2 linked regions of the Oryzias latipes genome follow. The protein of the gene in region 1 interacts with the protein of each later gene in a pairwise test. Links are inferred from orthologs where the notes say so. Each region holds a gene or a part of one and is shown on either strand. Other genes may lie near its edges.

Evidence for each region.
Region 2: the proteins of tp53rk (region 1) and tprkb interact in binary tests that used the Homo sapiens proteins (3 or more experiments, as listed by UniProt). The link is inferred for Oryzias latipes from reciprocal best matches to the Homo sapiens genes TP53RK and TPRKB.

The regions. Positions count from the first base shown.
Region 1 is NC_019879.2:917,671-921,904, forward strand, and holds the start of tp53rk (TP53-regulating kinase), read left to right. Parts: upstream 1-1,430; 5' UTR 1,431-1,502; coding exon 1,503-1,707; intron 1,708-3,930; coding exon 3,931-4,234.
Region 2 is NC_019881.2:365,706-369,850, reverse strand, and holds the start of tprkb (EKC/KEOPS complex subunit TPRKB), read left to right. Parts: upstream 1-1,342; 5' UTR 1,343-1,450; coding exon 1,451-1,591; intron 1,592-1,658; coding exon 1,659-1,781; intron 1,782-2,674; coding exon 2,675-2,851; intron 2,852-3,957; coding exon 3,958-4,041; 3' UTR 4,042-4,145. Other genes in the region: alg10 (dol-P-Glc:Glc(2)Man(9)GlcNAc(2)-PP-Dol alpha-1,2-glucosyltransferase), read right to left, coding at 812-976. UniProt on the Homo sapiens protein: Component of the EKC/KEOPS complex that is required for the formation of a threonylcarbamoyl group on adenosine at position 37 (t(6)A37) in tRNAs that read codons beginning with adenine.

The DNA.
Region 1 (4,234 bases):
AAGATCAGCCATTGTGCGTCATTACGCATTGTGATGGGGCATTTTATTTCCCTCCATTTAATTACATCTGAAAAGCTACAGATGTCGGGAATAATCGACGTGGAAATGGGAAATTGATCAGCGCAAATGTAATTTCTTGTTGCTTTCTGAATGGTTGAGACATACGCCATACATTGTTTATCAAAAATAAAACAAACTAAAGGCATATGCATGAATACCATAATTCTGTAGCTTATGGAGAAATGTTTTAATATGAAAACAACTTTCCCCAGTGGACAATTAGTGCGTCTGTCCGTCCGTCCGAACGCCCGCACCTATATCTGCTCCGCCAGACGGACACATTGACGAGAATATCAGTTTTGTACATTATTTCGTTCTGTTAACTATATTATTTATGAGGATGAATTGCACAACATGCCAATATTGCAGAACATATTTCACTTTTCTTTCTGCAAATAAGTGTTCATTTGAATTTCTGTTGTAATTTTCGTTTGATCTTTTTTGTTTGTTTCACTGCTGATCGATCAAACGGATGTTGGTGTAGCTGTTAATTGTCAGACTTGCTTTGTGAAGTCTTCATGTTATTTATGAGAGGCAGTATTGTCATTTTCACTTTCACGTGTTTGTTCCATCTGCCGACGGCGTCACCGTTTCTCATTTCACCCGTTTTTGTGCGTACGCCTGGGTCAGAGCGTGAAGGACCGCACATTTTCCCCTCAAGTTTGCTTTTTATAAATCTCAACTATTGCGTAGAGAGTGGCGTACGCCTTCTTTTGTGCGTACGCAACGTTTATGAATGAGGCCCCAGATCATTGTAGTTGTCGTGCATGGTGATATGTTCTGACCGTAATTCCACTATTGGGTTGAATGCTATAAAACCTTCAATCATTGTTTTCCTGTTTCTCTTTCTTTATTCTAGTATCTTTGGCCATTTTTTCCGCTTAACTCCTACAATTTTTCATCTATTTTAACCATTCAACTATTCAAATATTCAGCTCTTTCCAGCTACAACTTTTGGACTTTCAAATCCTTGAACTTTTCCAGATATTCCAGGATTTTGGCCTCCGTTGAAAAACATGAGGGATCCTTGGTGCAGAAGCTCACTGGTTCGATACCCGGCTCTGGCATTTATCACAAAAATATGTTTTTTGTTATTGTGCTGTTTTAACTTTATTTATGGTTAACTTTGATCTTTTTTTAATTCATTTATTTATTTTCCAATGATTCCCCTTTACGCTTCCTTTTCATTCAGCGATACAGCATCAACCCATATTTTCTTCTGGAGATGCAGCTCCTTCTAGTTACAGAGAAATATGACAAAATCTAAAAAAACGACATGATGAATCTGTGGAAAAGAACGTAGATGTGTTTTTTTTTAGACAGGCAATGCTAATATAAAAAGATAATTTAGAACATTCCAGGAACATTCCAGTCCAGTAGGTGGCGGCAAACCTCAAACCGCCAGTAAAACGCCAGAAGAAGAAGAAGAAGCCGCCGCCAACATGGCGACCCTCCAGCTGCTGCGGGGCGCAGAGATGCTGAAGCAGGGCGCGGAGGGCCGCGTCTACCGGGCCGAGTTCCTGGGAAAACCCGCCGTGATCAAACAACGGTTTCCGAAACGCTACCGACACCCAGAGCTGGATGAAAAACTGACGCACCGCAGAACCATGCAGGAGGTCCGCAGCATCGCCCGCTGCCGGAGAGCAGGTGAGTCCCGCCGCCGCCGCGGTGCCGATCCCCGGCTTCAGACGCCTCTGCTTCCCCCAGGCGGAGGCCACTGCAGCCTAGGACCGTCCAGGACGTCCTGCTCTCTAGTTCACCACGAAAAGCTCCACGAGGCCTCGCGGGGTTTGTCCACGCACGAGGCGAAAGGTTCTGTCTGCTCAATCCGGGTCAGCATTAACCCTTTGTGGTCCTGGACCGCTTTAACAATTTGTAGAACTTTACAATTTCCTGGAATAATTCACCTTTAACACAGTTTGGTTTAGCAAAAGCAACAAAGTTTTTACTTTATTTTACTACACAACTGCACAGGACACCTGAGCGGTAGAAAAACACAAAGCAGAGTTGGAAATGTTGTCATTTTTTAACTGCAGAATGAACAAATTGTTTTTTGTTAACAAGAAAAAATTATAAACCCAAGAATTCCATGTCAGAACATTCGTAAACTACAGTCACACATCTTAAAATGCAACCGTGTGACGACCTGTGTGCAACTTATTCAGGTAATTCAGATTGGATGTCTCAGTTAATTTACTAAAAATATCTCTAGTTTCCCAGGTTATTTTGTGGCTGCCAACTCTCACGCCACACCTTTTTCTCACGCTAGACGGCAGTTGACGTTACTTATTTCCTGTTGATTTTTTTCTTATTCCTAAACTTAATGGAGAGACACAAACAATGTTTTTATTATTATATTAGCTCTGACTGCCGGAGACACTACGCTGGTCACTTTAGCCTAAGTCACTTCACAGGCCGTGGCTCTCTGGTTGTCTGGGTCCACAGGTGAGCGCAGGTGTGGCGTTCACTTCCACTGAGGCTCGTTCGGCCACTTCAAGGACGTCAGGAGAATGAAACGTGCGATTGTTTGATGCGCGTGTCCTAAATGTCTCATGAAGTCTTTGTAAGGATACGCAGCACTCCTGTCCTCCTGATACACTCAGGATTTATCGTTTCTAGCAGCCAGGCTGCGCTCCAACAGCCTGCACCTTTATGGCAAGCCAAAAGGGTCAAAATCTGTCATGAAAAGCAGCGAAAATAATGATTGTCTCGACTGGAGTTGGTGTTTCTTTTTTTGCTCTTCCTTTCCTCTCTTCCTTTTTTGGTTTTACCAGTATGTGCAGCATTAAGGCAAAAAAAAAAAAAAAAAAAAAAGAGACGTTTGTGTTTTCCTGCTGAAAAACGCCGCCATGAGACGAGAGGTTTCAGTCCGTCTCCTGTAGTCTGGACCAAAGATTCAGAGCTGCTGAGAAAACGAGGACAGATTCACTGAAGGGGAGCAGATGGACAGAAAATGCCCCCCCCCCCCCCCCCCCCCCCGATTCTGTCTCTAGTTGATTCATTTTTACATGAAATCAGAACAAAAACAGCCTAAAAACAGGATAAAAGATGCCGTTCAAAATCTACATCTTCTTATTTCAACGTTTTGTTGATGTTGTATTTTTTACGATGCGCATAATTCATTTTCACTGGGCACTAGGGGTGTTTTAAGTATGGGGTGGGGAGGGGGGGCATTTTTGTTCAGACGGTGAGAACAAAGAATTGCGAACAGAAGACGGGTTTTTTTCTTCCCTCAGTGTGAAGAGCAGAGGATCCGTTTTATCCAAGTTCTAAGAAATACATTTGATTAAAAGAGGAACATTTTGCATTTAAATGTTCTCATTTATTTAGGATTAAACCACGGTCCGGGTGAACACTCCATTCTGATCGCCTGCTGGGTGTGGACTAAAAAGTGAGAATCTAAAAAAGTAGTTCCAGCTGAAATGTTCTGTATCACTCCGCTGGCTTCTTTAAAACAAACGTAATCTTCATCGTCTGGACAAAGACGAGCGGCAAGAGGAGAGCTTTCCCTCTGAACTGATGCTTTATTGTTTAAAAAGTGATCCAAACTGAAAAAATAACAAGAGTAAAGGACTAAAAACTGGTTGAACATTTATTTCTTTTGCAGGTGACCATAGTATAAGCGGGTTGATGACCTTGGAAGTGTGCTTTATCAGAAATGAATGCACTTCATGGAAGCAACCGGACGGTTGCTTCCATGAAGTGCATTCATTTCTGATAAAGCACACTTCATCTTCCATTAATCCTTCCATAACCAACTCAAGTCGTCTCTATCCTATCATTTACAGACAGGATCAAGGCAAACTGTGATATTTACTTGGCCTCTGACCTTTTGCAGCGTCCGGTCAAAGACTTGTTTCTCCTCCACAGGCATCTCCACCCCCGTCGTCTACTTTGTGGATTACAGTTGCAGCTGTATTTTCCTGGAGGAAATAGTTGACTCTCAGACTGTGCGGGACTTCATCGCATCCGCCCGGCGGTCGTCCTCGCGGTCGGACCAAGAGCTGCAGCGGCTGGCTGAGCTCACGGGGCGGATCTTAGCCAAAATGCACGACGAAGACGTGATCCACGGAGACCTGACCACCTCCAACATGCTGCTGCGACGCAGCGCCGACAGCTCGGAGCTTGAGTTGGTCCTCATCGACTTTGGCCTGAGCTACATTTCGGCTCTAGC
Region 2 (4,145 bases), on another chromosome or scaffold:
ATTTTGTATTGGAAATCAGACAATGTTGACTGTTCCCTTTATATATTTTATGTTACCAAAATAAAAGCACAATGAATTTCCTGGATAAAAGCAACTTATATATGAGATCCAGTTGCAATGCTTAACATTGGGATCATTGAATAAACTGACTTTGCCCATTTTATTACAATGGGAGACGTACTGACATTCAGGTAGAGTTTTTTTCTAAGTCAGACTCCAAAAATAAAATGGAAAACGTGTTCCGGTAAAATATCAGGATATGTATCGTATCTTATTTGGAAGTGGACGGCTGCAGGGATACTGATGTCTTCAATGACGGGCTGCAGAGATGCTGCCAGCCCCCCCATTAATGAATACGTTCATAAACCGTCAATCCAACATCGGAGCTTCTAAACATTTGTAACGTCATCAATAAACAGCTCAGATGTTCAAATCCAAGACAGTTTGACCAAATTGAGTTTATTCGGTCTGCTGTGCTGCTGGACTGTTTGCTCACTTGGAAAAAAGTCAAAAAAATTACAACTTTAAATGTCGTAATTTTACTTTTCTGTGGCCCCAAAATTCTGAAAAAATACAAGTAAAACAAGTTTAAAAATATGTCATGATTCTTCACAATAAAAGACTTTATTTATGTTGTATTAGTTTTTGTCTAAGTAGTTCATGTGGACAGTGTTGCACTAATGCATTTGTCTGTGTCTGTCATGGACAACATGCCTCATCTGGACCTGACAGCAGCCTCATCTCTGACCTTAATCCCCATGATGGAGCCCCTCCCCCTTCATCAAACAAACAAACAAAGACAGTCTTTTACCTCGCTGAATTTTCCCTGGCAGTACTTCTGGGCTTGCGGAACATGGAAGATCTCGTCCATGTAAGCCTCCCTCTGCTCTCTGGTGACTTTGGAGAAGATCAGACACGAAACCAAGAAGTTGGTGCTGCACAGAGCAGCGAACACGTAGCCTTCAAACTTCTCCATATTCGACCCGGAAACACGCAAAAGCGACTACGAGCACAAAGCTAGCGGTGATAAAGCTGAGGAAGGCGCATCAAGACTCAATTTATGTTTAAAAACCAAAGAAAAATGAAAGAATTTAGAAGGAAAAGCTGTGAAACTGTCCCAGGAGAGTCAACGGAAGAGCTGTCGACAGCTGGATGTCCGTCGCTTAAAAACGTTCGAATTGCTTACATAAATAGTTCCCCCTGGTGGATTTACAAGTTATTTATTTTCACTAAAAACGCAAAATGTATCATGTAGATATTTTCATATTTCATATAGATTAAGAAAAAATTCACAAAACCGAATACAGTCAACGGGACAGAAAAATGGCAAAATGAGATTTTGGAGCGGTGTAACAGCGAAACGGTTCCGCCGGAACCCCGTCACACGGAGCTCCATGCCGGTTGTTTTTTTGTAGTTTTCCAACCTTTTAGGTCCTAAATAAATACACACATGCATTTCACACAAAAGCTGGAGCTTTTCCCTGAGCAGCACGTGACTCAGATGCTTTTTAAAGACGTAAATAACGCGGCGGAGCTGAGGCAGGACGCCGTGGAGGGGAACATCCACGCCGCTCTCATCAACCCGACCATGGTGAGCACAGAGCGGTCAAACATGCTGCTATGCCCGGTGGGTTGACGCATTCTGCTTCCGTCTGCAGCTGCTAAGTCCTTTCCAGGCGCTGCTGGCTGCAAATAAAGCCATTCATTCACAAAGCATCGGAAAAATGAAGACGAGAAGTTTGAACTCGGAGATCATCTTCAACCTCTCACCGACCAATAATGTGAGTCACGTGACCGAGAGCAAACACTTGATTTCCCTGTCAAGACAAAAACTCTGGGCTACAGTTGGTCTGCTCAAGCAAAAAGTCTGTTTTCTCCTTTTAAATAGAATGATGTTTATAAGTACTAAATAATACTGTGAGGAACAGTGATCTACTAGTTTGTTCATCTAGTTTTATTCAATGATTAATCCTTTTATAATGAACTTCTCAAATACTATACAGTAAATAACTTCATATCTTTACACTGGATGAAGCACTAAGCAGTTCTATGAGGGAATGGGCATCTACGGCCTGCAGGAACAGACTTTAAAGATCCACCTGTGCGTTTGCTCTGAGGCCTCCAGGATGAAGCAGCAGACGGTCGTGGAGAAACAGAAGAAGGTTTTCAGTCGGTGGAACTGAAGGACTACCAGAAAGCAGCGTCTTTAGAGCTCTCAATGATTGACACTTATTCAGACTCACACATGCCACCAAACATAAAAACAAAACCAGAAAAACAGGAAGTTAGTCTGAGCTGCGGCTCCTCTTCGTCCTCTCAGCTGATGGTTCAGTCCATCAGTCACTGGGCTCAGCTGATCCTCCGTAAGGTTGGCCTGTAGAAGTAGAGTTTGGAGAAGGTCCTGTCATTTCTCTTCTTTTGAAGAAGGGGGGATGGAGGGACCGCATCCAGACAACACCTGAAGTCTGGAGCCGGACTTCAGAATCTAAGCAGCTCTAAGTTTAGTTGGACAGACAGAAGCCTGAAGTGGACCTAAAAACCTGGATGTCTGCAGCAACATCAGTTGGTTTCACTGAGGGGGGGCGCTAACCTTTCAACAGCACCACTGTTACATAAACCATGGATTGTTGTCTCATTAGGGTCACTCAAACGTTGATCCTGCTCTCACCTGCAGATTTCAGAGGCCTTCAAACGCTTCGGGATCTCCCATCAGGACCGCTCCCTTCTGGTGGTCGTGGTTCACAGCAGAGACGACTCCGAGGTCTTGTCCCACATCGCCATCAGGGTGGACGGGCAGGAGGTCCCAGTGGAAGAGTTTTCCTCCTTTTCGGATCCTGCAAAGATCAGAAAGGTTTTCCTAACGTCTGCTGGGTTTTTGTGGGAATGACAGCAGGTTTCCATCAGAGCTTCATGAGTAAAGCGTGAAGAAAATGGAAGAAAGAAAACAATCCGACTCTATTGCTGACTTACTTTAAAGATAAAACATTCATTCAAATACTTGATTGTGATTGAATTGCATAAGAAAAAAGATTTGTGTTGACTTTGATTGCAGTAAAAATCTGGAGAAATGAGCTCAAACCCTAAAGATCAGATGAGAAGTTTCTCTAGTGTCAAAGTTTTCCTTGAAGGTTGGGAGAATTTCCGTGTGGAGTTTGAAAAAAGCTGTTTGCAACATTTCAGCTCAGTTTTTCTGCTGAGCTGCAGCAGAGCTAAACGGATCCTCAAAGCGGCTTTGGATTCAGATTTCTGCTTTTTAAACGTAAAGTGCATCAAGGCGCACACAATTAAGCGGTCGATTCCAAATATCTGAATCATTTTCAACAATAGAATAATACTTTTACAACATTCTAATTAAGAAACGAATTTAACTTGGAGTGAAAAGAAGACGTAAGTTTAGTTTGAAAAATCAGGGTTTGACCCTAAAATGTAACAGAAACGCTGAAAATCCTTCTTTTATGGATGAATGTTTCGTCATGTCACAGTTCCAGTCATGACTTTTTTCATGTGGGGTGGGTGATGTCACAAATTCAATAACAATAGAGTACAGAAAAAAACAGACTGTCAAACACGGTGGAGGGGTCATCATGGGTTTGTGGTCTTGGTTACTTGAACACGTTGGGAGGAAGTAAAGGTGAAGGAGGAAGATGATCCAAAACATGGAGCCTTCATCAAATTCTAGACGTCGTTTCCACGGCGGTTGTTTGGGATGAACTGCAGAGAAAAGTCAAACCTGGAATGTCTCTGCTGTAAAATATGAGGAATATTTACTTTTTGTAGCATGAATTAGTGTTTCCAGCTGTTATTTTGTCAGTCTGGGTCCATTTTCCATATCCTAAATAATCCCATTTCCAACATTTTTAGAGCTGATTTAGTGCCGTGTGTCTTCAGCTCATGTTCTGAACGTCTTCCTGTTGTCTTTCTGTAACGTGGCGTTTCTGCCCCCCCCCCCCCCCACAGCTGTACAAAGTGAGTCCTCAGGAGGAGAGCGGCGGCCTGCTGGACGCCGTCGTCTGCAGGATGGCCACTAAAGACGTCATGTAGAAGAACACAAACTTTACTTTTCCCACATGACTCTGGTTTTCCAATATTTTCTTCACAAGAAAAAGAAAACGCTTCCAAAGCTAACATTGGATTTTTCAGTTGTC